Linked DNA regions of Lonchura striata. The protein of the gene in region 3 purifies or fractionates together with the protein of the main gene of each other region. This does not show direct contact. Links are inferred from orthologs where the notes say so. Each region holds a gene or a part of one and is shown on either strand. Other genes may lie near its edges. The genes, in order: DDB2, DCAF11, COPS7A and COPS8.

What was found.
Region 1: the proteins of COPS7A (region 3) and DDB2 purify together in Homo sapiens (affinity purification with mass spectrometry; 5 studies listed by BioGRID and IntAct, counting the BioPlex papers as one, with this or other methods). This does not show direct contact. The link is inferred for Lonchura striata from reciprocal best matches to the Homo sapiens genes COPS7A and DDB2.
Region 2: the proteins of COPS7A (region 3) and DCAF11 purify together in Homo sapiens (affinity purification with mass spectrometry; 3 studies listed by BioGRID and IntAct, counting the BioPlex papers as one, with this or other methods). This does not show direct contact. The link is inferred for Lonchura striata from reciprocal best matches to the Homo sapiens genes COPS7A and DCAF11.
Region 4: the proteins of COPS7A (region 3) and COPS8 purify together in Homo sapiens (affinity purification with mass spectrometry; 11 studies listed by BioGRID and IntAct, counting the BioPlex papers as one, with this or other methods). This does not show direct contact. The link is inferred for Lonchura striata from reciprocal best matches to the Homo sapiens genes COPS7A and COPS8.

Annotation. Positions count from the first base shown.
Region 1 is NC_134608.1:39,083,796-39,090,924, reverse strand, and holds the start of DDB2 (DNA damage-binding protein 2), read right to left. Parts: upstream 3,012-7,129; 5' UTR 2,899-3,011; intron 1,996-2,898; 5' UTR 1,984-1,995; coding exon 1,812-1,983; intron 1-1,811.
Region 2 is NC_134641.1:644,506-651,972, forward strand, and holds the start of DCAF11 (DDB1- and CUL4-associated factor 11), read right to left. Parts: upstream 3,012-7,467; coding exon 3,005-3,011; intron 414-3,004; coding exon 304-413; intron 1-303. Other genes in the region: uncharacterized protein LOC110481942, read right to left, coding at 5,424-5,446, 5,568-5,634, 6,686-6,815. UniProt on the Homo sapiens protein: May function as a substrate receptor for CUL4-DDB1 E3 ubiquitin-protein ligase complex.
Region 3 is NC_134604.1:29,610,990-29,617,898, forward strand, and holds the start of COPS7A (COP9 signalosome complex subunit 7a), read left to right. Parts: upstream 1-3,901; 5' UTR 3,902-3,937; coding exon 3,938-4,099; intron 4,100-4,178; coding exon 4,179-4,254; intron 4,255-4,715; coding exon 4,716-4,804; intron 4,805-4,878; coding exon 4,879-5,081; intron 5,082-5,544; coding exon 5,545-5,650; intron 5,651-6,003; coding exon 6,004-6,155; intron 6,156-6,289; coding exon 6,290-6,329; 3' UTR 6,330-6,355; intron 6,356-6,493; exon of another isoform or gene 6,494-6,637; 3' UTR 6,638-6,909.
Region 4 is NC_134610.1:38,283,977-38,291,888, forward strand, and holds the start of COPS8 (COP9 signalosome complex subunit 8), read left to right. Parts: upstream 1-4,899; 5' UTR 4,900-4,973; coding exon 4,974-5,051; intron 5,052-5,844; coding exon 5,845-5,915; intron 5,916-6,664; coding exon 6,665-6,713; intron 6,714-6,886; coding exon 6,887-7,019; intron 7,020-7,813; coding exon 7,814-7,912. UniProt on the Homo sapiens protein: Component of the COP9 signalosome complex (CSN), a complex involved in various cellular and developmental processes.

The DNA.
Region 1 (7,129 bases), on a different chromosome or scaffold from region 3:
AAGGACACACATTAAAAAGAAAACAAACATAGAAGACTGAAAACACGTGGATCATCCTATATGATTACAACCTAAATTAAATCTTTCTTTAATGCAATGATGGAGAAAAGCACACTTCTTTGTTCACATAGTGAGAACACTTGTCACACTTGTTGAAATAGGTACAAAAGTATTTCTATTCTAATTTCTTTTTTTTTTTTTCACTAAAGAATTGGTATCCACAGTTCCTTCTTCAGAGGTGACAGAAATTGAGGTATTTTTTTTCAGATTCTATTTTACAATTAAGGATAGTTTATTAAGAAACAAAGCTTCAGGCCTTTTTAGAATCAGCTGAAAGAAACCCTCTAAAAAGGTGGTTTAATTGTAAGAAATGGAAACTGTCCTATATGGATCAGGAGAAAAAAAAATTCCAAACACAAACAAACTGGAACACAGAATGGGAAATCTCAAATAGAAAGGTCTTCATCTTTTTAAGAAAGGGTTAAGGGAAAATATGATTAGCCTCATTTTTCTGAAGTATCTTACAGGAATGGCAGATTCTTACCAAATACAAAAATCGGGTCACAAAGTTACAATAAAATCATGTAGCTAAATTAACTACAGAAGATGTTTTAACTATCTACAATTATAAACGGAACTCCTTTCAAACAGAGTATTTTGCCTCCACAGTTACTGTTCACTCTGCTAACTCCTCCAAGTTTGGACTTACAGATCACACAATGGAAATGTGCAAAATCATAGAACCCCTGTATCTCTGACTTTTGAAAAAGACTTCAGTAATTTCTGGATCCTTAAGCCAAAATTGTACAGAAAACACATAGTATCTCCACATAAGGCAGTAACCCTAGTGATTTCCTAAACCACTGATGGAATTAAAAGTTATGTCTGAGAAAAGGAGGCTGAGGGGAGACCATATTGCTCTCTACAACCACCTGAAAGGATACTGCAGCAAGAAGGGAGTTGGTCGCTTCTCTCAAGTAACAAGTGAGAGGAAGGACAAAAGGGTCTCCAGTTACACCAGGAGAGGTTCAGATTTGCTATCATGAAAAATTTCTTCACTGAAAGAGTTGTAAACCATTGGATTCTATGATCTTAAAGGTCTTTTTGAACCTAAATAATTCTATGAAATCGCTGTAGGTAAAGTCTGGACAACTTCCTCAATATATGCAAAGCATTAAACTTTCCAGTATATTAGAAATTAATCACAACTCCACATTACATCAAAACTCTTTAAGATTTGGTCTTTCTCATAAGTTAGTCACCAAAGGAAAAAAAATGCACATGAGAAGAAGAAATTAGAGGAAACTCTGTCCTTTATAATCTGAACAGAGGTAGAAAGTATTCATACTTACTGTAGCAAAAGTTAGAACAGGGAAAGAATGGGGTTCAAATACCAGCTCAGACTGGATGCTGTAGGACACCAACACTTAAACTAACAGTTGTATTCAGAATTGCATGAGAGTAAGAATTTATTACCAAGACTGGTCTGTCTGACACTAAAGCAGAGATCTGGTAATACTGGAATTCTATAAAACTTGACCACCCTCAAATGAGCTGTAACAGCATCTTCAGTGCTTCAGGCTTTTATCAAGGGGTACATAGTCTCAAACATTCCTGCATGCACACACATTCACTAGACAAAAACTTGGAGGATGTACTACCCCAACACAAGTCTGCCTATTACTTCAACATCTAACATCATCTGAACACTCATGTCTGAACATGATTCTTGGCATTCTTTCTCTTCAACTAGTAAATGCCTGTCATTTGCAGTAAATCTGGTAGGGAGAAAGAATCTGAGGAAATATTACCGATTTTCCCTGAGGGTCTAGATGCTTTTCTCACAAACAACTTCTTTTCTTGTTTCTCATTCCCTCGTTCTCCATAGTCCCGTTTCCTCTTCCCAGCTGATTTTGCTTCTTCTGGCCAATGCTGACATGCCCTCTCACGCTTCTTGTCCTTTGGCTGGTTTACTGGAGCCATTCTGCCTGACCACTGAAAGCAAGCAAAGCATGGAAGGTAAGACTGTCATACACTTCTAACCAGAGGACAGAGAGGAAAAGTGGAATGGAACATATCCCAGTTAGTCCGAACGTAGTGATTAGATGTGTATCCTCTTTCATTGGGATGACACTAGCTTTTTGTTGTTCTCTACTGAAGAGAGGAACAGGTTCAATAAAATCTTCTTTGTTCACATATGAAAATGAATGTATCCTAGAGCACTAGAATATGTTTTGACAGATGTGCCTCTACTAGACTTTTAAGCCTGAAACCCACAGATCTGCATAAAGTACATCTGTGAAACCACATAATCCCCTAACTGTTTCTCTGGTAGCTCACACTGAGCTCTTTAGATTCAGCTAAGCAAAAGGTCAGAATTTTTATGATGATGGCCAGGGCTGACTGGCCTTGCAACAAATGGGCTCAGAAGGTACTTCCTGCATAGTGGCCACTTTTCCTCACAACCACCACCTGGTATTTGGATTCAGCTCGTGCACAGCCTGGCAGCCACACCGGAACTGCTCTTCTAACGGCGGTGAGATTCAGCGACTCGTGTCCCGGGTTATGCCGGCCACAACGCCACCAGGCCCCTGAGGAAAAGCACAGGCCTTCCACGGCCTTCTCTGCAGCCAGCGGGCCGTGCGCCAAAGGCCCTCCGCAGCCGCAGCACCTTCCCGCACAGCATCCCTGGGCTGAGCCTGCGCTCACGTTGAGCTCGTTTAGAATTCCTGAATGGCCATCACGGATATCTGTTAAATCCAGCTCGGCGGGCACCGCGCAGGCTCTTGCGCAGGCAGCTGCCGCTTCCGGCACCTCCGGGCACGGCGGGGCCTCCCCTCAGCCCCCGGCGCGGCCCGCGGCCCTCGCGGCCCGGGCGGAAAGCCCCCCCGCTCTCACCTGCGCTCCCGCGGCCTCGGCTCTCCCGGCGCCGCCGCGGCCGGCGGCCGGCACTGGCCCCTCCCCCGCGGTTTCATAACCGGGGCGGGAACGGGGGGCAGCGGCTTCGGCCCGGCCCCCGGAGCGGCACCGATTTCGCCGGCCATGGCGGCCCCCGCCAGCCTTCCCCGCTGAGGGGCAGCGCCATCGACAGGGGTAGGCCGGGGAGGGCTCGGCGTGCTTGTCTAGCCCTAGCCCGCCTCCCCCCCCTACCCCTGCCGGCCTCCCGGCCATCCGCATGAGCAGCGCCTCCGGCCCCCCGGCAGCGACAGGCGGCTGCGAGGGCCGAGCCGGCCTGAAACGCGCGGTCCGTCTGTCTGCCTCTTGTTTATTTGGTGCAGCACGTAAAATCATATGCCCCTCATTAGTTTGTAGAGCACCAAATTGGCCTATTAAAGCCCCAAACACGGCAATCAAAACAAATCAAAACATCATTTCCACAAGAAAACTCACCTGGTGTTGGAACACAACAACAACAGCATCAACACCATCAACAACAAAAGGTGCTTCAAAAGCTGATAACAAAGTCTTGTCGAGAGCAGCTCAGAGAGTACTAGATCCTACATGGTGCAGCTGACAAGAATGGGGAAGGAAGAGCTCTACCAACAGAAAGGGAAGTACCAGCACTTCGCACCTGCAAAGGAGGCTGCTGTCTGCCGGCCGTGGGGAACCTTATCCCTCATCTCTGAAGCAGTGAAGTCCCTGGCTTCAGGCCTAACAGTAACTATGCTGAGTAATTAAGGTACAGTCATCCACACAGGAGGCTATGAACACAGGTTCTGAAATAGCTGTACATAGCCATGCCTTCTGTAGGGTTTGGTTTCACGTGCTACTATTTTTTGCGCTATAACTACAGTTACCTATGGATTTTCTCACATACTAGAAAAGGCACAGAAAAATTCCCCAGAAAAACAACAAACAGTCTCTATGCTCTTTCCCTGAACAGTAACAAAGTTTTATTACTTGCTGTATCAGAATGCCATACACAAAAATGATAATCACTAATACAATCTGGTTTTGGACATATACACCAAACCAATTAGCAAGTCTTAGAGTCTCAACAGGCACTTTTATAATATACAGCTTTTGTCTTAGAACTGTACCCATTAGCAAAAACCAGTGTAACCTACGCATTTCCATCTTGGAGCTATCACAGCATTTTTTAGAAATGAAATAGACTAGAAAAGAGTAGAAAAGGCTATTGCCTGTGGAAGGCACCTACAATGAACATCTAGTCCAACTGCCTGACCAGTTCAGGGCTGACCTAGTCAAAGCCTGGTATTAAGGGCATTGTCCAAATGCCTTTAAAAATTGACAGCTTGGTGCATTCACCACCTCTCTCTAGGAAGATTGTTCCGGTGTTTCACTACCCTCTCTGTAAAGAAATGCTTCCTATTGTCCAGTCTAAGCCTACCCTTTTACAGCTTCAGACCACTCCTATGCATCCTATTACTGGATCCCAGGAGTAGAGATCAGATCTCCCACTACACTTACCCTTCTCAGGAAGCTGTAGGGAGCCATGAGGTCTTCCCTCAGCATGCTTTTCTCCAACCTAGGCAAGCCAGACTCTGGACTCCGGACCAATCGAGGACTTCAACACCACTCTCAAATGTTGAGTCTCAGAACTGCACAAAGTACTCAAGATGAGGTCACATGCTAAATAGAGTGTTTGTGTCAATGACTAACACCAAGTTTGATTTCTCTCTGGAGAATCACGAGATATTTTTGTAATAATTATCCACTAAGGGTAAGAACAACAGACAGTACACAGTTCATGCACAGAAAAATGCCACTGGCCTGATGTCCCACAGCTCAGTGTCTGGATGGTACTCTGAGCAAGAGAAAGACTAATTTGAAAAAATATTCTTTGACGTATTTACAGTGTCTTAGAATTGCAGTATGCAACAAAGAGGAATAGAATTCTGCATGGGCAGGATATTAGGTTTATTTTATTCTGCCAGTTCTCTGATGTACAATTATGCTGAGGTTCTGCCTCAGTTATGGGACATGGTTCTCTCCAACAGAATCACGTTGTCTTATCACTGGATCCGGTGAAGCTATATTGAAACTAAGATCAGTTTCATGGTAGTAATAATACCATTAGGTGTTCTGCCTCCTTGTTTCCAGGACCTTTGTCCAAAGCATGAATAATTTTGCCACCTTAGCTAAATATACAGTTATATACAAATGTATAAATCATATACAAATATATAAATTATATATACTGATGTATATATCATTAGAGCAACTAGAGTTTGCCATGCATATGAAAACAAGCCTATATTCCATGAAAAAGTAAAACAAAATATAAAACCCAAGAGATGAAGGAGTAAATATCATGCTATTTGACCTCCTTCTCTTCCATGGCCATTGTTAAGCTGCCCATACCACGAAAATGAACAAAAAGATCACTATCATTATGGGCTTATTTACGAAAGCACCCTATCTCCCCCAAGCCATTCCAGCCTTGGAGGACAGGATCGCAACAGCCATGCTATTTAATACTCTCACCTTGCAATCAGTATTGGTGGTGGCCAAGTCCCACATGGGCAGTATCTGTCTTAGACATGCTATCTTAGATGCACATGAGATAGCAATCTAGAAATCAGCATGCAAACATAACACCGGGCAAACACTGGATATAGACTATTAATGGATGACAGGAGCTTGCCTTTTCTGACCTTCATTAATGTACATTACTTTGATAACAGAAATCAAAAATGCAGAACTTAATTGAATTAGGGAGTATCTGTGCCAAAGAATAGGGTTCAGTTTTGTTTTAGTAAAAGACAAAGTTGCTTATACTCTCAGCTGTGATTAACTTCAAGGACAAGACAAGCATATTTTTTCACTTTTTACAAGTGACACCCATAGGCAATGACCTGTCATGGGTGTCTACCTTCCAGAGACCCTATGCTGGTAAAGGTGAACAGAGGATTGGTCTCAGAAGAAATTAAGTGGAATGGTTTCTAATGTCCACTTTCTAACACAAAATTTCACTGTATATGAAGGGCATCAGCACAGTTATTTTCTGGTTCTTATGAAATCTAGGGCACTTGGAAAGAAAGGCAAAACACCTAAGTACTGCTGCAGAGAAATGGAAGATTTATGGCATGCTCTTTCCTTTCTTTCTTCTGCAAGGCTCTCAGTCTTTCCTTTTTCCACCAATTGAATAAACATCACTACAAACCCACAGTTGGTCCTTGGAATTATGTCCCAAGTCACTTGGAAGCAGTGACTTCAAGAGAAGGCGGGCCAGCAAGGCCTGGTAGCGCTCCGCCAGCAAGCCCTGGCCCAGGGGATATTGCACTCAGGGATTTAAAAGATGACGTCCAAATTATTCAGATAGACGTTTTCAGAGAAATGGAAGAGTGACTGAAAGCAGTTTGCAAGATCGGGCTGAACGAGAAAGACGGATGCCAAGGTGAACTGATGCCACCCTCTAAGCCCAGGGAGAGTGACCCATGCCACTCTCACACGAGAGACCACAGCACTTCACTTGGGTGGAAATCAGCCTTGGGGAACCTCCTGCTCCAACAGCAGGGGGGCTCCAAGCCCTGCACGTCAGCTGGCCGGTACAGCACACAGATGAACGAACTCACGGACAGGAGCCGAACTCGGGGCTGGGCCGAGTGGGCAGCTCCTCCCAGAGCTGTCTCCCTCCCGACCCCGCCACGAGGGGGATCCCAGCCAGGCCGATTTCCCTCAGTCCCCTCCGCATCCCACAGCTGCAGCCCTTCCCAACGTGGAGGTAGGGGAGAACGACAACGGGAGCCGGCGCTGCCCTCCCGGCACCTCTGCCGACCCCACCTGCCTGGGCAGAGCCCGCTCCCGTTAATTGGATCAAGGGCCGGGCGGCGGGGGCGGGAGGCGGGAGCTGTGCTGGAGCGGCTCCGTCGCTGCCATCGGAGCAGCCCGAGCGCGGGCCCGCCCCGCGGGAGCCGCTGGAGGCGGGGCGGGACCCCCGAGTCCCGCGGCTGAAGTAGGGGGAGGGCTCAGCCGGCCCCTCCCCGAGGTGGCCGCTGCCCGCTGAGCGTCCCGCCGCGCCGCCTGCGAGGTAAGCGGCGGGCTCGCTGCTGTGGGCTTCGCTCCGCGGGCCCGCCGCCTTTTCGGACCTGTGCCCTGCGGGGTGCTGGGGGTCCTGGCGGCGGAGCCCGTCCCGGTCCCGGCGCCGCCTTCCCGCGGCGAGCAG
Region 2 (7,467 bases), on a different chromosome or scaffold from region 3:
TAACCCCAAACCCCATTTTTAACCCTTTCTTGGCCATTTTAACCCTTTCTTCCCCATTTCCCCCCATTTTTAACCGTTTTTACCATTTTTCCCCATTTCCCCCCTCCCAGTCCCTCCCAGTATAAACCAGTAACCCAAACCCCATTTTTAACCCTTTCCCCCCCATTTTTAACCCCTTTTCCCCCGTTTTTAACCCTTTTTTTGCCGTTTTTCCACCGTTTTTCCCCGTTTTTCCGTATTTCTCCCCGTTTTCCCCCCTCCCGGTGCCCTCCCAGTCCAAACCAGTCCAAACCAGTTCCCCACCTGCCGCACCAGCCTGGGCAGGCTCCGCTCGGGGGGTCCCGCCCCGGCCCCGCCCCCCCCGAGCTCCGCCCGCAGCTCCTGCAGGGCGGGGCCGGGGGGGGGAGGGGCGGCTGGGGGGGGGAGGAAAGGGGGCGGGGCCTCAGATCAGGCCACGCCCCTTTTAACCCTGACCCCTCCCTTTAAGCCCCTCCCCCCCCCTTTAAGCCCCTCCCCTCATATAAGCCCCTCCTCTTATTTAAGCCCCTCCCCTTATTTAAATTAGATAATTTAAGCTCCTCCCCTTTAAGCCCCTCCCCTTTATTTAAGCCCCTCTCCATATTTAAATTAGATCCATGTAAGCCCCTCCCCTTTATTTAAATTAGATTCATTTAAGCCCCTCCCCTTTATTTAAGTCACTCCCTTTATTTAAATTCGGTCCCTTTAAGCCCCTCCCCTTTATTTAAATTAGATCAATGCAAGCCCCTCCCCTTTAAGCCCCTCCCCTTATTTATGCCCCTCCCTTTATTTAAATTATGTTACATTAAGCCCCTCCCCTTTATTTAAATTAGATCCCTGTAAGTCCCTCCCCTTTATTTAAGCCCCTCCCCTTTATTTAAATTAGATCCATGTAAGCCCCTCCCATTTATTTAAACCCCTCCCCTTATTTAAATTAGATCCCTTTAAGCCCCTCCCCTTTATTTAAGCCCCTCCCCTTTATTTAAATTAGGCCCATTTAAGCCCCTCCCCTTATTTAAATTAGGCCCCTTTAACCCCTCCCCTATAGTTAAACCCCTCCCCTTATTTAAATTAGATCCCTTTAGCCCCTCCCTTTTGTTTAAGCCCCTCCCCTTATTTAAATTCGACCCCTTTAAGCCCCTCCCCTTTATTTAAGCTCCTCCCCTTTATTTAAACCTGGCCCCTTTAAGCCCCTCCCCTTTGTTTAAGCCCCTCCCCTTTATTTAAATCAGGTCACCTTAAGCCCCTCCCCTTTATTTAATCCCCTCCCCTTTATTCAAATCAGGTCACCTTAAGCCCCTCCCCTTTGTTTAAGCCCCTCCCCTTTATTCAAATCAGGTCCTATTAGCCCCTCCCCTTTGTTTAAGCCCCGCCCCATTATTTAAATGTGGTCCTTTTAAGCCCCGCCCCTTTCCCCTCAAGCCCCGCCCCCTTTAAGCCCCGCCCCCACCTCTGGAGGCCTCCGGGGCCCCTCCCCCCCCTTCCGCTTCCGCTTCCGGTTCCGGTTCCGGTTCCGGTTCCGGCTCCGAGTCCGAGTCTGAGTCCGGATCCGGCTCCGGGATTTGCCCCGCCCGGCCCTGGAGAAAAGGCACCCAAAATGACCCAAAAATGGCCAAAATTCACCCAAAATTCACCAAAATTCAGCCCAAATTCAGCCAAAATTCAGCCAAAATTCACCCCAAAATTCAGCCAAAATTCACCCAAAATTCACCCAAAATTCACCCCAAAAATGGCCAAAATTCACCCCAAAATTCAGCCAAAATTCAGCCAAAATTCAGCCAAAATTCACCCCAAAATTCACCAAAATTCACCCCAAAATTCACCCCAAAATTCAGCCAAAATACCCCCCAAAATGACCCAAAATTCAGCCAAAATTCAGCCAAAATTCAGCCAAAATTCAGCCAAAATTCACCCAAAATTCAGCCAAAATTCACCCAAAATTCACCCAAAAGTCACCGAAAATTCAGCCAAAATTCCCCCCAAAATGACCCAAAAATGGCCAAAATTCAGCCAAAATTCAGCCAAAATTCAGCCAAAATTCAGCCAAAATTCAGCCAAAATTCAGCCAAAATTTACCCAAAATTCACCCAAAATTCAGCCAAAATTCAGCCAAAATTTACCCAAAATTCACCCAAAATTCACCCCAAAAATGGCCAAAATTCAGCCCAAAAATGGCCAAAATTCACCCAAAATTCACACCAAAATTCAGCCAAAATTCACCCGAAATTTAACCAAAGTTTACCCAAAATTCACCCAAATTTACCCCAAAATTCACCCCAAAAATGCCCAAAAATCTCCCAAAAAAATTCCAAAAAATTCCAAAAATTTCCCCAAGCAATTCCCTAAAATTCCCAACAAAAACCCAAAAAAATTCCCCAAAAATGCCCCAAATCCCCTCCCCCACCCCCAACCTGCCTCAGTTTCCCCAAATCCCCCCCAATCCCCTCCCCCACCCCAAACCTGCCTCAGTTTCCCCCCAAATCCCCTCCCCCACCCCAAACCTGCCTCAGTTTCCCCCCAAATCCCTCCCAAATCCCTCCCCCACCCCCCAAATCCCCTCCCCCACCCCCCAAATCCCCTCCCCCACCCCGAACCTGCCTCAGTTTCCCCCCAATCCCCCCCAAATCCCCTCCCCCACCCCAAACCTGCCTCAGTTTCCCCCCAAATCCCCTCCCCCACCCCCAAACCTGCCTCAGTTTCCCCCCAAATCCCCTCCCCCACCCCCAAACCTGCCTCAGTTTCCCCCAAATCCCCCCCAAATTCCCTCCCCCACCCCTCCAATCCCCTCCCCCACCCCCCAAACCCCCTCCCCCACCCCGAACCTGCCTCAGTTTCCCCCCCCCTCACCTCCTGAGCAGCGCGCGCAGCTCCGGCAGCTCCAGCCCCTCCCCCCCCTCCCCACCCTCCCCCTCCCCGGCCCCTCCCCCCCCCCCGGGGCCGCCCCTCCCCCCCCCTCCCCTTTCCCCTCCCCCCCCTCCGCTCCTGCCGCCCATGGATCCCCCCGCGCCGCCACTTCCGGGTTAGGCCCCGCCCACCGCGCCGCCTCCGCCAATCAGCGCGCAGGCAGCGAGCCACGCCCCCCCCGCGCTGATTGACACGTGGGGTAAGGGGGGAGGGGGCGTGGCCTGCGGGGGGAGCGCGCTGATTGGCGGAGGGGGAAAGGAGGGCGGGGATTGGTGGGAGCGGGGAGGGGATGGAAGGAGGGCGGGGATTGGTGGAGAGGGGAGGGGCGGGATGAGAGGGAGGCGGGGATTGGTGGAGAGGGGGAATGGGGGAAAATGGGGGAAAATGGGGAAAAATGGGGAAAAATGGGAAAAAAGGGGAAAAAAGGGGGAAAAATGGGGAATTTTGGGGGAAATTTGGGGAAAAACGGGGGGAAAATGGGGGAAATTTGGGGAAAAATGGGAAAAATGGGGGAAAAATGGGGAATTTTTGGGGAAAATGGGGAAAAATAGGAAAAAATGGGAAAAAATGGGGAAAAATGGGGAAAATTGGGGAAAAATTGGGAGAAATTGGGGGGAAATGGGGAAAAATGGGGAAAAATGGGGGGAAATGGGGGGAAATGGGGAAAAATGGGAGAATTTGGGGGAAATTGGGGAGATTTTGGGTGAAATTGGGGAAAAACGGGGAAAAATGGGGAAAAAATGGGGAAAAATGGAGAAAAATGGGGGAAATTTGGGGAATTTGGGGGGAAATGGGAAAAATGGGGGGAAATGGGGAAATTTTGGGGGAAAATGGGGAAAAATGGGGAAAAATTGGGAGAAAATGGGAGAAAATGGGAGAAATTGGGGGGAATGGGGGAAATGGGGAAAAATGGGGGAAATTGGGGGGGAATGGGAAAATTTTGGGGAAAATGAGGAAAAAATGGGAAGAAAAGAAAAAATTTGGGGAAAAATGGGGGAAAATGGGGAAAAAATGGGAAATATTGGGGGAAAATGGGGGAAAATTTGGGAAAAAAGGGGAAATATTTGGAAAAAAAGAAGAAATTTGGGAAAAATAGGGAAAATGGGAAGAATGCGGAAAAATGGGGAAAATGGGGGAAATGGGGAAATTTTGGGGGAAATTGGGGAAAAGCGGGGAAAAAATGTGGGAAATGTAGAGAATTGGGGAAAATGGGGAAATCTTGGGGAAAAAAATGGGGAAAATGGGAAAAAATGGGGAAATTGGGGAAATGGGGAAATATTGGGGAAAATTTGGGAAGAAAGGGAAATATTTGGAAAAAAGGAAGAAATTTGGGAAATATGGGGAAAATGGGAAGAATGGGGAAAAAAGGGGAAAATGGGAGAAATGGGAAATTTGAGGGGAAAATAGGAAAGTTTGGGCAAAATTTGGAATAAAAGAAAAAATTTAGGGAAAAAAGGAGAAATTTGGGAGAATTTCAGGGAAATTTGGAAAAAATTGGGGGAAAAGAAATTTTGTGAGAAAACCTGGAAAAATTTGGGTAAAAAGGGGAAATTTTGGGGAAACATTCAGAAATTTGAGGGAAATGGGGAAAAATGGGGAAATTTCGGAAGAGAAAATTTGGGGGAAAAGGAGAAATTTGGGGGAATTTGGGGGGAAATTTTGGGGGGAAATGAGGAAAAATTGGGGGAAATGAGGAAAAATTGGGGAAAAAGGAAAATTTGGGGAGAAAAGAAAATTCTGGGAATTTTTGGGGGAAATTGGGAAAATTGGGAGAAATTTGGGGAATTTTGGGGAAATTGGGAAATATTGGGGAAAAAGGAGAAAGACTGGGGGAATTTGTGGAAAATTGGGAAATTTAGGGGAAAAATCAGGAAAATGGTAAAAATTTGGGGAAAAAAGAGTAAAAACATTTTTTTTGGGGAAAAATCCATTTAAAATGAGGAGTATTTTGGGAAAAAATAACAAAAATTGAGGAAGTTTGAGGAAAAATAGGTGAAAAAATCAGAATTTTGGGGGGAAACGGATTTAAAAAGCAGATTTTGGGGAAATCAATGGGAAAAGGAGAAATTTTGGGGAAAAAATCGATTTAAAATGTGATTGTGGGGGAAATTTTAAAAAAAACCCAAAAATTCCAGCGCAAATCGGGAGGAAATTTGGAATTTAAAAAAAAAAATGTCAAAAAAAAAAGGTTTTTGGAATTTTGGGCAGCTTTTATTTTTAAAAAGGTGAAATTTGGGAGAAATATCCCCAAAATAAAAAAAAAAACTGGGGGGAATTTCAGGGACAAAAATGGGAATTTTGGGAAAAAATCGAAAAAAAAATTTGGGGAAAAAATTGAAAAAAATTCAAAAATTTGGGGAAAATTTTGATTTTTTGGGGGGTTTTTTGTGGTTTTTTTTTCCCCTCCCAGTATAAACCCCCTCCCCCCACCCCTGGCGAGGCGGAAAGAAATGCAAATGAGATGCAAATGAGGCAGAAAATCACGGATCTTTATTGGAGGATCAGCGGCGGCGGCGGCGGAAACCTGGGGGGGAACTGGGAGTTACTGGTTTGGACTGGTTTGAACCGGTTTAAAGGGATTTAAACCGGTTTAAAGGGATTTAAACCGGTTTAAACTGGTTTGAACCGGTTTAAACCGGACTCACCCTTCCTCCCTTTCTTCTTCCCCGATTTTTGTTTCTTCCTCTTTTTCTGCGGCGGCTCCGACGAATCCTGAGCCCCAAAATCCCCCAAATTCGGCCCAAAATGGAGCCCAAAATCCCCCAAATTCAGCCCAAAATTCCCCAAAAATTCCGCCCCAAAATCCACCAAATTAACCCAAGAATTCCTCAAAATCGACCCAAAAATTCCCCAAAACTTGGCCCTAAGATTCCCAAAATTCAGCCCAAAATTCCCTAAAAATTCAGCCCTAAAATAACCTGAATCGATCCAAAAATTTCCCCAAAATTGACCCGAAAATTCCCCAAACCTTGACCCTAAAATTCCCAAATTCCCTAAAAATTCTGCCTCAAAATGACCAGAATTGATCCAAAAATTCCCCCAAATTGACCCGAAAATTCCCAAAAACTTGGCCCTAAAATCGCCGAAATTCAGTCCAAAATTCCCCAAAAATTCAACCCCAAAATCCCCCAAATTTGTCTCAAAATTCCCCAAAAAATTAACCCCAAAATTCCCCAAAAAATTAACCCCAAAATTCTCCAAAAATGGATCCTAAAACCCCCCCGACATTCAACCCAAAATTTCCCAATTTCTGCCCAAAATTTGCCCCAAAACTCCCGAAAAGTAGACCCCAAAATTCCCCAAAAATGATCCCAAAAGTCCCCAAATTCAGCCCAAAATTCCCCAAAACTGATCCCAAATATTGACCCCAAAATCCCCCAAATTCAGCGCAGAATTCCCTAAAAATTCAGCCCAAAACCCCCCAAAATTGACCCCAAAAAATTCCCCAAAAAATGACCCCAAAATCCCCCAAATTCACCCCCAAAACCCCGAATTCAACCCGAAATCCCCCAAAATTCACCCCAAAAACCCAAATCCATCCCAAAATCCCCCAAAATCCCCCCCAAAAACCCCAAATTCAACCCGAAATTCCCCAAAAATTGACCCCCAAAATCCCCCAAATTCAGCCCAAAAATTCCCAAAGAATTCCGCCCCAAAAATCCAGAAAATCGACCCAAAAATTTGATTTTCCCGCCTTTTCCCCCATTTCCCGCCTTTTTCCCCCATTTCCCGCCTTTTCCCCCCCAGGCCACGCCCCCCGCACCTGATTGGCCGCTCCCAAAAGGGCGGGAAACGCCCCGAGGTTGGTGACGTCATCCAGGCCTGGCCCCGCCCCCTTTGGCGGCCGCCAGGGGGCGCTGAGGCGCCGCAGCATCGACTCCTCAAAGCGGCGCCTGCGGAGCCAAAATCGCCCGAATTTACCCCAAAATCTGACCCAAAGTGGGCAAAATCCACTGAAAGGGAATGAAATAACCCAAATTTACCCAAAAATGGACCAAAATCACCCGAATTTACCCCAAAATCTGACCCAAAGTGGGAAAATTCCACTGAAAGGGGACAAATTCACCCAAATTTAACCAAAAATGGACCAAAATCGCCCAAATTTACCCCAAAATCTGACCCAAAGTGGGCAAAATCCACTGAAAGGGAACCAAATCACCCAAATTTATCCAAAAATGGACCAAAATCACCTGAATTTACCCCAAAATTGGGAAAATTCCACTCTAAGGGAACAAATTCACCCAAATTTAACCAAAAATGGATCAAAATCACCTGAATTTACCCCAAAATCTGACCCAAATTGGGCAAAATCCACTGAAAGGGAACAAATTCACCCAAATTTACCCAAAAATGGACCAAAATCGCCCAAATTTACCCCAAAATCTGACCCAAAGTGGGCAAAATCCACTGAAAGGGAACCAAATCACCCAAATTTACCCAAAAATGGACCAAAATCGCCCAAATTTACCCCAAAATCTGACCCAAATTGGGCAAAATCCACTGAAAGGGAACCAAATCACCCAAATTTACCCAAAAATGGACCAA
Region 3 (6,909 bases):
CTGGGCTGATTTTTAAGTGTAATCCCTGTGTGCATTAGCCCAGTAGAAACTAAAGGGTTAAAAGGCTTCTGTATCATGTTGGTATCCAAGAGAGTCCTGCCAGCCTCCCTTGTCCTTACAGTTTGTCTCAGAGTCTGTGTTACACACAGTTGTGAAAAATCGTCTCATGAGATGTGACTCTGCTATGTTTGGAGAGGGACTGGTGAAAAAAATGTCTTCAGCGTTTTGACAAGTTATTTGGATTCTGTGGTGGTGAGGAAAGGAACAACCTAGAATGAGCCCATACAGCTCTACAGCTTTAAAGTGGGACAGTGAGCACAGAGGAAAGTGGATCTATAGCACAAAGAGAATGGAGATTTCTTTCTGTAAAGATCAGAGCAAGATCAGAAGAGAGGGATGATGCTAGGGGGTGGTTACAGCTAGGATCAGAAATCCCAAATATTCGGAAACAACAACACAGAACGTCTCCGTGTCACAAGATTTATCTTAAAATTATGAAATGTCGTACAGACTTGCTTTCATCTGCACTCTTCGCCTCCTACTTTCGGCTCTTTTGGTTACATGAAAATCACATTTCACAGTTTCCCCGTGACCATAAAGATAGGTGTTTGCTTTGTGAGGAAAGCAAAAACACAGAAGTTACTGACTCCAGGAGGCTGGGATTTGATTTCAACACCCAGCATTCCCATCTAGGGATGAGGCCAAAGTTTTGCTACGTTGTGGAGATGTTACCCATGACTTTTGCACTCGTGAAGACAATGACCTTCTCATTTGGACAGCGCAGGATCTGAGTCATTTGAAGCACCTTCTGGTCTTTGCCCTTGATGCAGGATAAAAAAGGAGCAGACAAAAACATGGGGAGCCAGCACACAGCACATAGGAACTGGGGCCAAAGTGGAGGAGACAGAGAGAGCATCAATGTAGCTAGGATGCTCAGGCTGCCAGGCTTTATCTAACTAATAATGAAAGGCAGCAAGCGTGTCAGAGAGTGTGAGAGAAACAGATCGATAGAGAGATAAAACTGAGATGGAAGGAGCCGGCAAGGGGGTGGGGAAGAGAGTAATAAAACATTACAAATCGGCAGGGTTACGTTTGAACCTGATTTGAATGCACCCTGCACTGGTGTAAGTGAAGATAGGAGGTGTGAGGCTACGGTGGATCTGGCCTAAATACATAAAACAGGGAGGGAAAAGCAGGGAGGAGATGGTGCCCTTGTCAATATTGCCCTGTAACCTGCCTTCACAGCTCTCAGCCAACCTTACCTGCCCTGCCTCTCCTTTCATCTTGCTGTTTGCAGAAGCCCAAATATTGCTGGCTCAGAGAATACAGACTGATAGACTTTCCTGCTCCCCTGAAGAAATGCCTGTTGTGTAAAATGTGTCTTGGTCCCATTTTACCTGACTTGAGCATAGGAAACACTCCTTACTATTTTGTTCATTGAGGACCCGGGGTAGCTTCCGACAATGCCCTGAGCCACTGGATGTGAGGCACTTGCCTAGGAGAGCTCATTGACTGTGCCCATGCTCAGTTACCAGTGGAAGATAATCGGAGAAGTTTCTTTGCTCAGCTTCAGGTTTTTTGAGGCAAAGGAGACTGCGACATCTCAAAGCTAAAATGGTCAGAGCACATAAATGAAAATGTGCCCTACAAGAGCAGGACTGAAGGTTTGGGTGCCTTCCGCTCTCAGGGCACATGTTTGCTTCTCTGGCCCAGCACTCAGACCTGTTTTGCTCCTTTTGCCTGGAATTGGTTTTAAGTGCTGTCCATTTAATCTTCATGGCATGATCATTAATGTTAGAAGTTCAGTTTTTCACACTGACCATTGCTGTCCACACTGTTCCCTCCTTCTGTCAGTAGCCTCAGTGAGGAGACCAAACACTGAAGAGGATGACCCTGAGAAGGAGTAGTGACAATCCCTACAGCTGTACAAATGAGCTTGGGAGACAACAATCCAACCCCCAAGGCAGCCACAGGTTATGTTTTCTAGATCTGAAATTATGTTTGGAGCAGGATTGTACCCCAAAAGAGCCTTCTCCATGACTCAGCCACAGCAGCTGCGTGAAAAGAACTAGAGTCAAAGCAAGAGAAGAGAGTTGTTGATACTGGCAAGTAAAACCTTAACAAACATAGACTTCACCCAGATGAAGATTTCAAGATGTTACACTTATTTCAAGATGTTGCACTTACAGAAGTCTGGCAAAGCACAAGTCAACTGCCTTTAATATGTGCTAAACTGATCCAGCTGAAGACCAAATCTCTTGCTGGCAATTACGTGCTGGAGTGCAAACTTGCCCTGATGGCTCTACGATTTTAACGTCCTAGAACCGTGCTACCTGCATAGACTGTATCGGCCTCCCAACAATTTGTTGCCTACTTTTCTTTCACGGAGAATCACTGTGGGTTTCTGAAGGAGCCAGGCAGGAGGAAATTCGTGATGCACTGGAAACTCTTGGCCAAACAGCTTAATGTTTCTTATTGAAATGCACACTGACTGCACTCCTCCCAGTCCCCCTCTCAACTCACCTCTGCCTCCCATGTGATTTATACAAGATGAGAAGAGCTCTGAAGGTGTGGGTGTTTTTTTCCCCAAATGACCCCCACTTTTTATTCTTTCTCACCTGGCACAGGGAACTGTGCCCTCAACAATGACCGCATTGCTGTAACTCACACACCCACGAAGATATACTTAAGGTGCACTATAAACATTTCTATCCTTGTGGAGCATTTAAACTATCTTTTTATGGCCATACCCTGCCTGCATCAGGGATGCATTTCTTGACAAGTGCAATGGTTAATGATTCAGCAGATAGTAAAGTCATTTTTTGGTAAAAATTAATGCAGTAGAGGAGGGGAGGCATGCAGGGATTTGAGAAATGCACAGCTTAAATACGTAAGTACAGTGCTTTGCAACATAAGATTTTTTACATTTACATATCCCCAAAACACTGCCGAAAATAGTGAGATCTTAATGGTGTGAAAGCAAAAATGAGAGCGATGTGTGTGGGCACACACAAGGTATTCTATGCACCTCGTTCAATTCTGGTGTGGTGCTTATAGAATAGATCATTGAGATGTGAAAAACACCATGCCATATAGTAGTGCATCTGTTTTCCCACCAGTTATTTCAACATTCATCATAGAATCACAGAATGGTTTGGGTTGGAAAGGACCTTAAAAATCATTTTGTTCCAAGTCCCTGCTGGAGGCAGGGAGGTGTGCTATTAGACCCCGCTGCTCAGAGCACCATCAATCCTGGCCATGAACATTTCCAGGTGTAGGGATGAAGAGTAGATATTCACCTGACCGGCAAGACCCAAAAACATGTGGATATTCTTCTGGCATTGATTGCCTTGTTGGGACACACCTCACGATGGCTGAGCAGCCTGGGGGAGTTTTGACAGAGGACGGGTCATGAAAAATAAGAGAACAGTGAGCAGACGTGGCTGGTGAGCGGGGCAGGGCATGAAAAAAGCACAGAACGGAGTTGAGGGCTGGCTGGTGCCGAGGCTGGGGACCAGCAGGTGGCCGGAGACCGCAGCCTGTGCTGGCCCGGGGACATGAACGCGCCGTGGCAGGATGACGAGGGCGGCCGTGGGTGGCCGGGAACGGCCCGGGATGGCCGGGAATGGCCGGGAACGGCCCGGGATGGCCGGAGGTTGCGGCGGGACGGACGGGACGGCGGCGGGACGGACGGGGCGCAGCGCTCAGCCCCGCCAGCGGGGGGCGCCCTGGCGGCGGCACTGCGCCGCCGCGCGGCGCCCGGCCCGGCCAATGGGGAAGCGGCGGGGGCGGGACAAGCGGCCGGCTCCGCCAATGGGCGGCGGGTGCGCGTCAGACGCGGAAGCGGGCGGTGCGCGGGGCCGGCCGGGAGCGGCCGGGCCGGGGCTGCGGGGGCGAGCGAGCGGCCGCGCCGGGCCGCGCCGGGCCGGGCCGGGCCATGGCGGCCGAGGGGAAGGTGACGGGGCAGAGCCAGGAGCAGTTCCTGCTGCTGGCCAAGGCGGCCCGCGGCGCCGCGCTCGCCAGCCTGATCCACCAGGTGTTGGAGGCCCCGGGCATCTACGTGTTCGGGGAGCTGCTGGACATGCCCGCCGTCCGCGAGGTGAGGCGCGCCCGGCCCCGCGGCCCCGCCCGGCCCTGCCCGCGGCCCGGCGGCGCCGCCTGACCCTGTGTCCCCGCAGCTGGCCGACAGCGAGTTCTCCCCCGTGTTCCGCCTCCTCACCATCTTCGCCTACGGCACCTACGCGGACTACCTGGGTGAGGCGGCGCGGGCATCCCGGCCCGGTGCTGGGGATCCCGCGGGGGGAACGCGGGGCGCACAGGGCCTCCCTCCCTCCCTCCTTCCCTCCTTCCCTCCCCGGCAGCCAGGCCGAGCCCCCGGCACGACGCTCTGTGCTTTGGGCCCTGCCAAAGAGCATCCCGGCAAAGACGTTTCTGAGGGGCCGGGGCAGAGACTTGGATATCCATTGGGATGTGCAGACCCGCGTAAATAACGCATGGGACAGCTAGAAAGGCTGAGTTGAGGGTGGCAGAAAGAAAGGCTGCTCAGAAAAGGTCTTTTGAGCTGAGAGTTGATGGGGATGGCTTGGCAAGACGAAGCACCACTTGGGGGATTGGTGTGGAGATGTTTTAAGAGACGGGTGTGGTACAGATGCTTTTATGCAGAACTGAGAAACGAGGCATAAATTCCAATATCCTGTTCTTTCCCCTGACAACAGCTGAAGCAGCAAACCTCCCTCCCTTGACAGAGGCCCAGAAGAACAAACTCAGGCACCTGTCAGTCGTCACTCTGGCTGCCAAAATCAAGGTAGTGGCCCTGTTTTTCCCCGAGTTCTCCCCCACTGGGATTATCTTGTGCTAGTTACCATCGTGTTTCCGCAGTGCATCCCCTACTCAGTGCTGCTGGAGCAGTTGCAGCTGAAGAATGTCCGGCAGCTGGAGGACCTGGTGATTGAGGCTGTGTATGCAGATGTGCTTCGAGGGAGCTTGGATCAACGGAACCAGCGCCTGGAGGTGGATTACAGCATTGGGAGGGACATCCGGAGGGAGGAGCTTAGCACCATCACCCGCACATTGCAGGAGTGGTGAGGAGGAAGCCCCCAACCCAAAAAAGGTTGCAGGAGTGGCCAGTGGCTTCCCTGGATCCTTTGTTGCTAAGGGTGGGTGGTGTTGGGAGGTGACCTACTTGATCCCCTTTCCCGTACTCCAATGGAAAGTAATTTTCCAGAAATAACTTCCCAAATCCCCCTGTTGTGTCTAGAGGGGTGATGGGGACGCAGCAGCCTTTGTACAGCGCTGGCTGCTGGCAGGAGGCTTCCTGAGTGTTTATCTGTAGTTCTTAACCCAGCATGGCTTTGTTACCTGTCCCCCTCCCAGATAATAACATAATTCCCTGTGTTATTACATCAGACTCCTGCCCCTTTATCTTCCCTGCTTGGCATAGCTGCCACCTCCCAGTGTTTTTGCAGTTGAAATCTGCTGTCTTTCACATTTCCATCCATGCTGTGCCAATTCCCTGGCCTGTTCAGTTGTGGGTCTCCTCTCCAGGTGCCAGGGCTGCGAGGTGGTGCTGTCGGGCATCGAAGAGCAGGTCAGCCGGGCCAACCAGCACAAAGAGCAGCAGCTGGCCCTGAAGCAGCAGATCGAGAGCGAGGTGAGTGGGTGCAGCAGGGAGCAGCCAAAGCCCCTCACCTTAAAACAACTAGAGCCAGTACCCTGTGCTTGTTAGAGGCTTTGCTGAAGTGAGGCATTGCCTTTTCCCTAGGTCAGACCCCCCAGGGACTTGTGACTGAAGAAGAGTCTTAAATCAGCTTAATACTCTTCTGCAGTGCAGGGGCCTGGACAGATGTTGGCTCTTTTGCTTGATGTGAGCTTGCAGCTCTTAGCTCCAGGGCTTCCTTTAGAAACAAATTTAAAAAAAACCCCAAATTGCAAATAAAAAAGCCCGTAGCTAAAAAGTCCCCAGCTTTGGGAAAGCCATTAGTTCTTACTTTGCCACTATTGCAGGTGGCAAACCTGAAGAAGACCATTAAAGTGACAACAGCAGCCGCTGCAGCAGCCACGTCCCAAGACCCAGAGCAGCACCTCACGGAGCTCAGGGAGCCGGCCCCTGGCACCAACCAGCGCCAGGCAAGCAAGAAAACCTCCAAAGCCAAAGGGTGAGCACTGTGGGCAGACAGAGCCCGTGTGTGTGGGAACACTTCTTTCTGTGCACTTAGGAAGGAAAGAAAATATGAACCTGAGTGTGCACTTTGAACTTTTATTTTCTTTTTTTTTTTCCCTGTGCCCACAGGCTCCGGGGCAGCACGAAGATTTGGTCTAAATCAAACTAGTTGGATCTCCCTTCACAACTGGGAGGGTGAGAGGAAGAGATATGGGGGATGGAGGGGTAGCAGGGTCCCAGGCGTGATTGCTTCTGAGCTCTTCTCTGAGATCCATCTTGCCAACTAACTCTCCTGCATGTTTGTTCTCTTTTCTTTCTTTACCAACCTTCCAGGCAGTGTCTCCCTCCTTTTCATCACACTCTGAGCATTTCACACTCTGAGCTTGAGGTTGTACATGTTGCTGTTTCCCCAGCCGCTCGAGCCCCCGTCGCCACGGCCACGTGTTTCTCTCTTTCTCTCTCCCTGTCTTTTGACAGGTCGATTTCAGGAGCCGTAAAGGTGTGACAGTCACCTTGGCACCCCCAGGGCATCACAAGAGCTTGGAAGGAGGGTGCTGGTGCACAGCAGTTGTTTTGGCTCTGTGAGACCCCCTGGGATACTTTGCTCCAGGACACCATCTTTGATTGTTTAATCTTTGTTTTGCTAGGTGGGAGGGTAGTTTTTGAAGGGATTCTTTTAAAAAAATATATAAATATATTATAAATATATATAAAACAATAAAAATATAGATCTATGGACATATCTATAC
Region 4 (7,912 bases), on a different chromosome or scaffold from region 3:
ACACTCGCCCGCTGCCCCGGTGGCTTTGGCGGGGGACAGGTGTTTGTTAACACGCGTGCCATCACGGGGGATTAGCGGATTTAAAAGCGAGCCCCGGGAGACACGGCGGTGCATCGCGCTCCTGTTAAAAGGAGGGATGCTGAGCCGCGCAGGGAGGTTTCTGCAGGAGCGTCTGCCCCTCTTTCACAGGAGAGGGAAAGGAAGAAGCCCCTGCGTTCACAATGTGAGTCCTGTGCATCGTATCCTGGTGGAAGGGCGTGGGCTGGAGAGGGGCTTCTGCACAGGGATGCTCCGTCCTGGAAATGCCCCAGCTGGAGCAGGGATCACTCACTCCATCCCCCGAATGCTCCCTGACTGCACCAGGGACCCTCCCCAATTCATACCCTCCAACATCCCTGCTGGACCAGGGACCCACCTGCTCCATTCCTCAAATGCCTCAGCTGGAGCAGGGATCCTCCATCCCCCAACCACCCCGTGCTTGACCCGGGATTGTCCTACTCCATATCCAAAAATATCCCATGCTGGATGCTTGATCCCACCCTACAATGGACCAGGAATCCCCACGCTCTCTTTATCCCCTGGAATTTGGGGGTTTTCAGAGATTTCCAAGCGAAGGAACTGCAAGGTGGGGGAACAGTCAAGAGAAGAGCTGTTACATTGCTTAAAGGTACCACAGCTCCTTTCCATGGAGGATTAAAATATGTGGAGAGCAAGAACTGCTGGCCCAGGAGCCAGGGAGGGGACAGAAACTTGGCTGAGGATCCCGGAGAACAAAGCAAAAACAGGAAAATGCACAGACAAGCCTGGAAAGTCATAAAAACAAAGTTTAGGTTAAATACACAGAGGGTCTCTTATGCCCTTGGCAGGTTAATTAAAGGGCAGCTTTTGCCTCCAGAGCCTGTGGCAGGAGCCATCGCTCCTGGTTACTCACAGAGAAGACAAGAGGAGGGGGATGGAGGTGTCTGGGGTGGACAGAAAGGAGCCCAGCCAGCCCCAGATCTCAGCCCTAGGGGAGATTTGCCCCGGAGCAGCAGCAGGAGGACACAGAGCCCCACAGGCAATGACAGCTGGGTGGAAAAGCCTCATCACTTCCAGCTACTCTGGTCACTTTTTGGTCTCCTACATATCCTCCAAGCTCCTCAGCCTCTCTGATTTAGGGTTTGTTTTTTTTTCTTTTTACTTCATAGAATCACAGAATTATAGGATGGTTTGGAAGGGACCTTATTTAAAGCCCATCCAGTTCCACCCCCTGCCATGGGCAGGGACACCTTCCACTATCCCAGGTTGCTCCAAGCCCCATCCAAATCTGACCTTGAACACTTCCAGGGATCCAGGGGCAGCCACAGCTTCTCTGGGCACCATGTGCCAGATATTTATACCACTGTGCTGGAGTATAAACCTCTAGAATTGAGACCTTGGGTGTAAGCTGAAAAATCAAGGGTGAGGTCAGCAAAACAAACAAACAAAAAAAACACACACAAAAAAAAAAAAACCCAAAAAAAACCCCCAAAAACCAAAAAAAAAAACCAAACAAAAAAAAACCCATAATATCCCAAATATCCCAGATAGCTTCTTGTTTATTGGAGTTGAAACCAACGTCCCTATGGACATGCAATAGATTGAAAAGCTTGTTTGGGGAAAAAGCAATGATAATTTCCCACCAGCCGCTTGCCATTTCCTTTCATGGGCACAGCTCCTAAAAACGAGGCATTTTCCCCTTTGATGTCATGGAAGGAAATAACCTTCCGTGTTTGGATCCAGCCTTTGCTCAGATCAACCCAGCTATTGCCAGTCAGGCTGTTGAGGGAATGGGAAGGGCGTGGGGAGGTTCATCTTGACCCTTTAGCACCATTTTCTTTAACTTTCACATTAAATTACTGTCCTATTGTTCCATATCGCCCCATTGCATCCTAATTTCCCCACCACGAGTCTTTTGTTCCTCTACAAAGCTTTGGAAGCAGATGAGAAAAGGAAACCACTTGCAATCATCTTTCCAGAGGGTACCTCCAGATCACAGGCAGCAGCACATGGAAACAACTGGGAAAATTAAGCCCTGTCACGAAATGTCTGTTAATTTTTCTTGGAAATGCCTTGGTATTGCTTTGAAAGCTACTGGGTCTGTCCAGGATGGCAGAACTGGGATCCATTTCCCTCCCTGCTTTAAAATTCATGCAAGGCACAAACGAGTTGCTGAGATTTTCCTGCCATCATCACCAGGAGCTGAATAAAAATCACATTAAACTTACTTTACACTCCTGCAGCAGCCAGCGGCCACTGTCTTTAAGTGCTTTTTGAGCCTGTGGGCCAAAGAAAAATCAGGATGCTGTCAAGTCAAGGAGCCTTCCTGTTAATTTAACGTGGTTAGCTTTGCCAGTGGGATAGATTTTCCAACGTGCTCAGCTGTTTTATGAGTCTGGCCTCTTCTTTTGGTGTCTGAATTGAGGAGAAATTCCTGAGTGAAATAAATGACCTTGTGGTTTTCTGAGATGCTGGCTCAGGCAGCTGCCATCACCGTCCAGAGGTCCTGGGTGATGCCACCACACTGAGGTCAGGCTCCAAACAACGCCAGGAACATCTTCCACACCTCCCGGATTTATAACAACCCTGAAAATACAACAAATCTGCTGTATTTTTTCTTGGTGACTCAAAAAGAAGAGTATTCCCTTCTGGCATGTTTCCTCCCTGAACATGTTGCCACAGCCTTAAATAGCTTTGGAAAAGGGGGGAAAAGAGAGAGGGGAGGATGCAGAACATGCTTGCAAAAGGGTAGGTTCTGGCTAATTCCCTGCCAAGGAATTGCTTCCAGAGAGGGGCTGGTGCATTTGGGAGGCTTGGCTCAGCAGTGCATGAAGCAGCACTTCTTCTGTTGTTCCGAAAGAAAAATGAAAAGCAAAACGAAATGTTAAAAAAATAAAGAAACAAAAAAAACCCAACAACAACAACGAAAAACCAAAACAACAAAAAAAAAAAGCCAAAAAACCCCCTAATTCCCCCCAAATAGAAAGATTCTCTCGGGTGGAAGGGACAGCGGGATGTTTGGACGTCCAGTTTCCTTGGATTTTTAGGCAGTTTCTCTTGCAGCTAGTGCCCTCTTGAGGAAACCTCTCCTCTATTCTATTTTTACAGGGTTTTTTTCCCCCGGATGAAATGATCTCCCGGCGGGGAGCAGGAACATGGTCAGGGGCTGCGATTCTGCCCCGGCCCAACACAGCCAGCGGTGCCGGGGACCGGCTCACGCCTTCCCACCTGGACCCACCGGGAAGGAGGATGGCATCGGGATGTGGGATTGCAGCCCCCAGGAGAGGAATCCTTCCCAATTCAACGTGTTCCCGGTGGCAATCCGGGATGCTCTGACCCCATCCCCGCGGGAAGGTCCCCCACCGGCATCATCACAAGCTGCCGCCCTCTTTGCTCCCCTCCTCGCCTCCCGAAAACACGAGATAATTGGGAACGGGAGCAAAAGGTGAGGACAGTGCTCCTCTCAGATGTCCGAATGTCAAAGCGACGCTGGCACAGAGCTGGCGGCTACAAAGGGCCGTCGGGATCGATGCGGCTGGCGGGGACGGCAGCGGGATGAGAGGTTGCTTCCCGGGAAAGTGATGCCTGAGCCGGCGGAGCAGCAGTGCCATCGCCTGGACCCTCCTCCAAGATGCTGTGCCTCAGGCGAATCCTAAAGTGAACACAAACACACGTTAATTTTGTTTTTCCACAGCCAAAACCTCTCCCGCAGCGCGGGGACTCCGTGGCAAAGGGATCAGGATTTACCCCACTCTTCTTTTTTTCACCCCAAAAGTGTGGAGGACTCACGAGTTTCACAGCGAGGTGGTGCAGCTCTTGAGCACGGCTTGGGAAAATTCCCTGCGTGAAGGATAAATGGCTTGGGGAATGATTTTTAGGGCAGTGCTGGGGATGGAGGATGGTGGAAGCGCTGGGGTCAGGCTTTGTTCAAGGAATATGGAGAGGAGGATGATGATGGAAAGCAAACCCGTTGTACCAGAAAAGGAAAGTTTTGCAGAAAATGAGCCCTTCGGGCTGATTTTACCCTGAAAATATGAATTTACATCTGCGGCCCCAGCAATACCACTGATTAGGATATTGGTGCTGCATGTTGGGAAAAGCGTGAGCTCTGAACAGGCTCCCCGGGGAATGGTGACATTCCCAAATCTGCCAGGGCTTAAGGAATGTTTGGACAAGGCAAAGGCTGGGATTGCTGGAATAGGTGTCTGTGCAGGGCCAGGGCTGGACTTGGTCCTTGTGTTTAACCCAGGGTACTCCATGCCTATGGCCTGTCTCCAGCAGCCGGCAGCGGGTTTCACAGGAAACAAAGATAAAGGAACCCAACTGTAAAAACTACTTCTAAAGCCCAGCACCAACAGGTACAGAGCTGGAAAAGCACTCCCTACCCCTTGAGAACAACCCTTACGTACATGCAATAAGGGATGTGCAATAAGGGATGGAGGGCGTCCGCCTCACGCAGCGCATAAATGCGGCAGATACGAAGAGAAAACCGTATTGCACGCCAGGCACACTCATTTCTTTATAGGGCGCGGAAAGTTGGCTTGTCACACAGAAAACAAAGGGATTTTAAAGGGCTGTAACCGCGGCCGCCCTCAGGCGCCGCGCGCCCCCCTCAGCCCCTCACGGGCTCGGCCACGCCCCGTATTGGTCACGCCCCGGATTGGTCACGCCCCCGGATTGGTCACGCCCCCGGATTGGTCACGCCCCAGCCACGCCCTCTAATTGGTCACGCCCCCGTATTGGTCACGCCCCCGGATTGGTCACGCCCCCGGATTGGTCACGCCCCAGCCACGCCCTCGGATTGGTCACGGCCCCGTATTGGTCACGCCCCCGGATTGGTCACGCCCCCGCGGTCCTCCAGGAGCGCCGAGAGGCGGGCGGGAGGCGCGGAGGGGAAGCGGAAGTGACGTCATCGCGCGGCGCCCGCTGCGGGCGGGCGGCGCCGTGAGGGGAAGATGCCGGTGGCGGTGATGGCCGAGAGCTCGGCGAGCTTCAGGCGGCTCCTGGAGCAGTGCGAGACGCAGGAGCTGGAGGTGCCGCGGGACGGGGGGCGGGGAGGGGTCTGTGTCCGTGCGTGGGAGGTGGACAGGGTGCGTGGGAGCGGGGGAGGGCTCAGTGTTTGAGCTTGCCCCTTGGGCTCGCCAGAGAGCCCGTCGGAAAGTAGCACCTTGCAGATAAATGGGTGTTTCCGTATTATTATTCGCGTCGCTTCAGAGGGAATGGAGGGAGTGGTGGAGTTTGTGGGTTTCCGTCCTTCTCGTGGCTGAGAAAATGAAGGTATCGATCAGGGGAGTGCAGCCCTGAGCCAGGCTCGTGGAATTACCCTTAGAACGAGTTTAATGTGGCAGCTTTCACTGGGAGCTCCCTCTGTGCTGCTTTACGGTCTGTTGTCCCTTGATAAAAGGCCCGAAGCCTCATTGGAAATCTTTGCAGCTTTCAAATTTTTTCACCTTTTTTATCGCTCCTTTATTTCCTCCTTGCGAGCGCTGCTGAGGTGTGGCAGGGGCCGAAGCTTAACTCGAGGTTCTTGGGAGGGACGGAGAGGCTTTGCTGTGGTGGAGTGGCCTGAGCTGAACGTAATCGAAGTGGGCGGGTGATTTAATTTCACTTTCAACAGCTGCAACTCCTATGAGCATAGGAAGATGGAGGCTTATTTATTCCCCCCCTAGAAAATTGCAAAGACCTGTTACATGATGTGAGAAAAAACATAAATAAAGCTCAGTCATCTTGGGAGTGTTCAGTTTATGTAAAACCTGGCTTGGTGCTGCGTTTTGTATCACATCCCCCTTTAGAATCTGCAAGCCAAGAATGTGTGTGTGTTTTCAGGCCCCTGGAGGAATTGCCACACCCCTGGTGTATGGCCAGCTGCTGGCTCTGTACCTGCTGCACAACGACATGTAAGTGGCTTGTCCCAGCCTGTGGCACTGGCTTTGTCACCAGCACGTTGGGAATGGGCTCTGGGATTAATAAAAATGTTGGTTTTATGGAGAAATAATAACAATATTCCCAAGAATCGAGTCTCTTTCACCCCTTGATCTGTCAAGAAAGCTGTTCTCCTTTCCTGTGTGGGAATTTGGGAATGCAGTTCCTTCAGTGGTGAAATTGGCTCCTCTGGGAAGTGTTAAACATTTCAGAGATTTGTTTTGTAGCTCTTCAGGGCTGCATTTGTTTTAGGTTGGATTTGGGGTTATTATGGATTTATTGGTTTGTTTTGGGTTGGATTTGTTCCTTCTGTTTAAATTCCAGCAGGATAACTCTGGACCATCCCTGTTAAACATGAGTGTTACTATTGGCTTGAAGGAGCTAAATCTGCAGGAATTCCTGGGAATTTGGTTTGGGGGGGTTATTCCATGTCTCTGGGTGTACTTAATGCACTAAACTTGAGGTTTTGGGGAGAAGTTGCTTTCCCAAACTGGTGTTAAATGAGGCAATTAAAGAACTGTTGGTTGTGTTACAGCAGTGCAGTGTTGTCTGCTGGAGAGCAGCTCTGCTTTTCCCACTTCAGTATCCAATATTCCTTCCTGGAAAGAATATTTTTAAAGCACTGAGAATATTCATTATAGCATCTGGACAAACCTTGTGGTGTCTTTTTGCTGCATATGGTGACTGAGAAGTATTTTTCGTCTTTCTATTTATTTATTTTTAGGAATAATGCACGTTATCTCTGGAAAAGAATCCCTCCTGCTATCAAATCTGTAAGTATTGGGCCAAATTTACTTCAGAAACCTGCTGGTTTTGTTGCACAGCAATGTTCTCTGAAAATATGGGGGTGGAAATGGGTTTTTGCATAAGGATTTTCTTCTGGATTAATACTGGCTTTTGTTTTTGGTTTTTTTGTGGTTTTTTTTTTTTTTTTTGGTCACAACAGGCAAATGCTGAACTTGGTGCAGTTTGGTCAGTGGGACAAAGAATCTGGCAGAGGGACTTCCCAGGAATCTACACAGCAATCAGTGCACATCAGTGGTCTGAGACTGTCCAGCCAATCATGGAAGCACTCAGAGGTACAAGCTGAGCAGGGAATTGCCTGGAATTATTTATGTCTGCTCCAACAGAAGCAAATTGTCAATTGTGAAAAATCAGGACAACTGTTGCCAAGTTTTTGTAGGTTTTACTAAAAGGTTTTCCGGTGTCGGGTGTAAATAAATAGCTCTACAAAACCTTGTAGAAACAAGTAAATTGGTCTTAGTAGGATTCTGTTTCTGTGTATTTTTTGACACTGGATTTTCATAAACCATGTGGTTTGTTCTGTAAGAGCAAAACAGACCATAAATCACCCAGTTTTATCAGACTTCTAACCAGGGAACTTGGCTTGGCATTTCAGAACCTTGTAGGACTTAGAAAGTGGTTTTTCAGTGAAATGTTTTCCATCTTGTGTAATGGTAACATGCAGATTCTTGCTCCTAGAGGGCAGTGCAGACTGCTAAAAAGAGGTGTTTTGCAAAACAGGTTCCCTAAAACTGCTTTTTAGATGCCACTAATTAGTAACTAATTGCTGGCATATTGCCATCAGAGGATGCAGAGTTCCCTGAAGTGCTTTACATGCTGGTGGTGCAGCCCAGGATGCTGCAGGCTGCGCTTGGAAGTTCAGTGTAGGCTCTGAGGGGCTTTGTCCTGGCAGAGAACAAGCTGTTGTCTCTTGCTGCTGACTGTGAGCTGTGGGAAGGGAGGGGGAACTCCTGAAATGCTCACTTGAAGGCTGGTAGTGATTTTCCAGAGGTGGTAGAATTGAGGAAATGTTCTCAGCTTTCCCAGCTCTGGAGATGAGTCTCTTGTGTCCTGTGTTCTCTCTCCCTAGATGCAACCAGGAGACGAGCCTTTGGACTGGTTTCCCAGGCTTACACATCAATAGTTGCAGATGATTTTGCAGCCTTTGTTGGCCTTCCTGTAGAAGAAG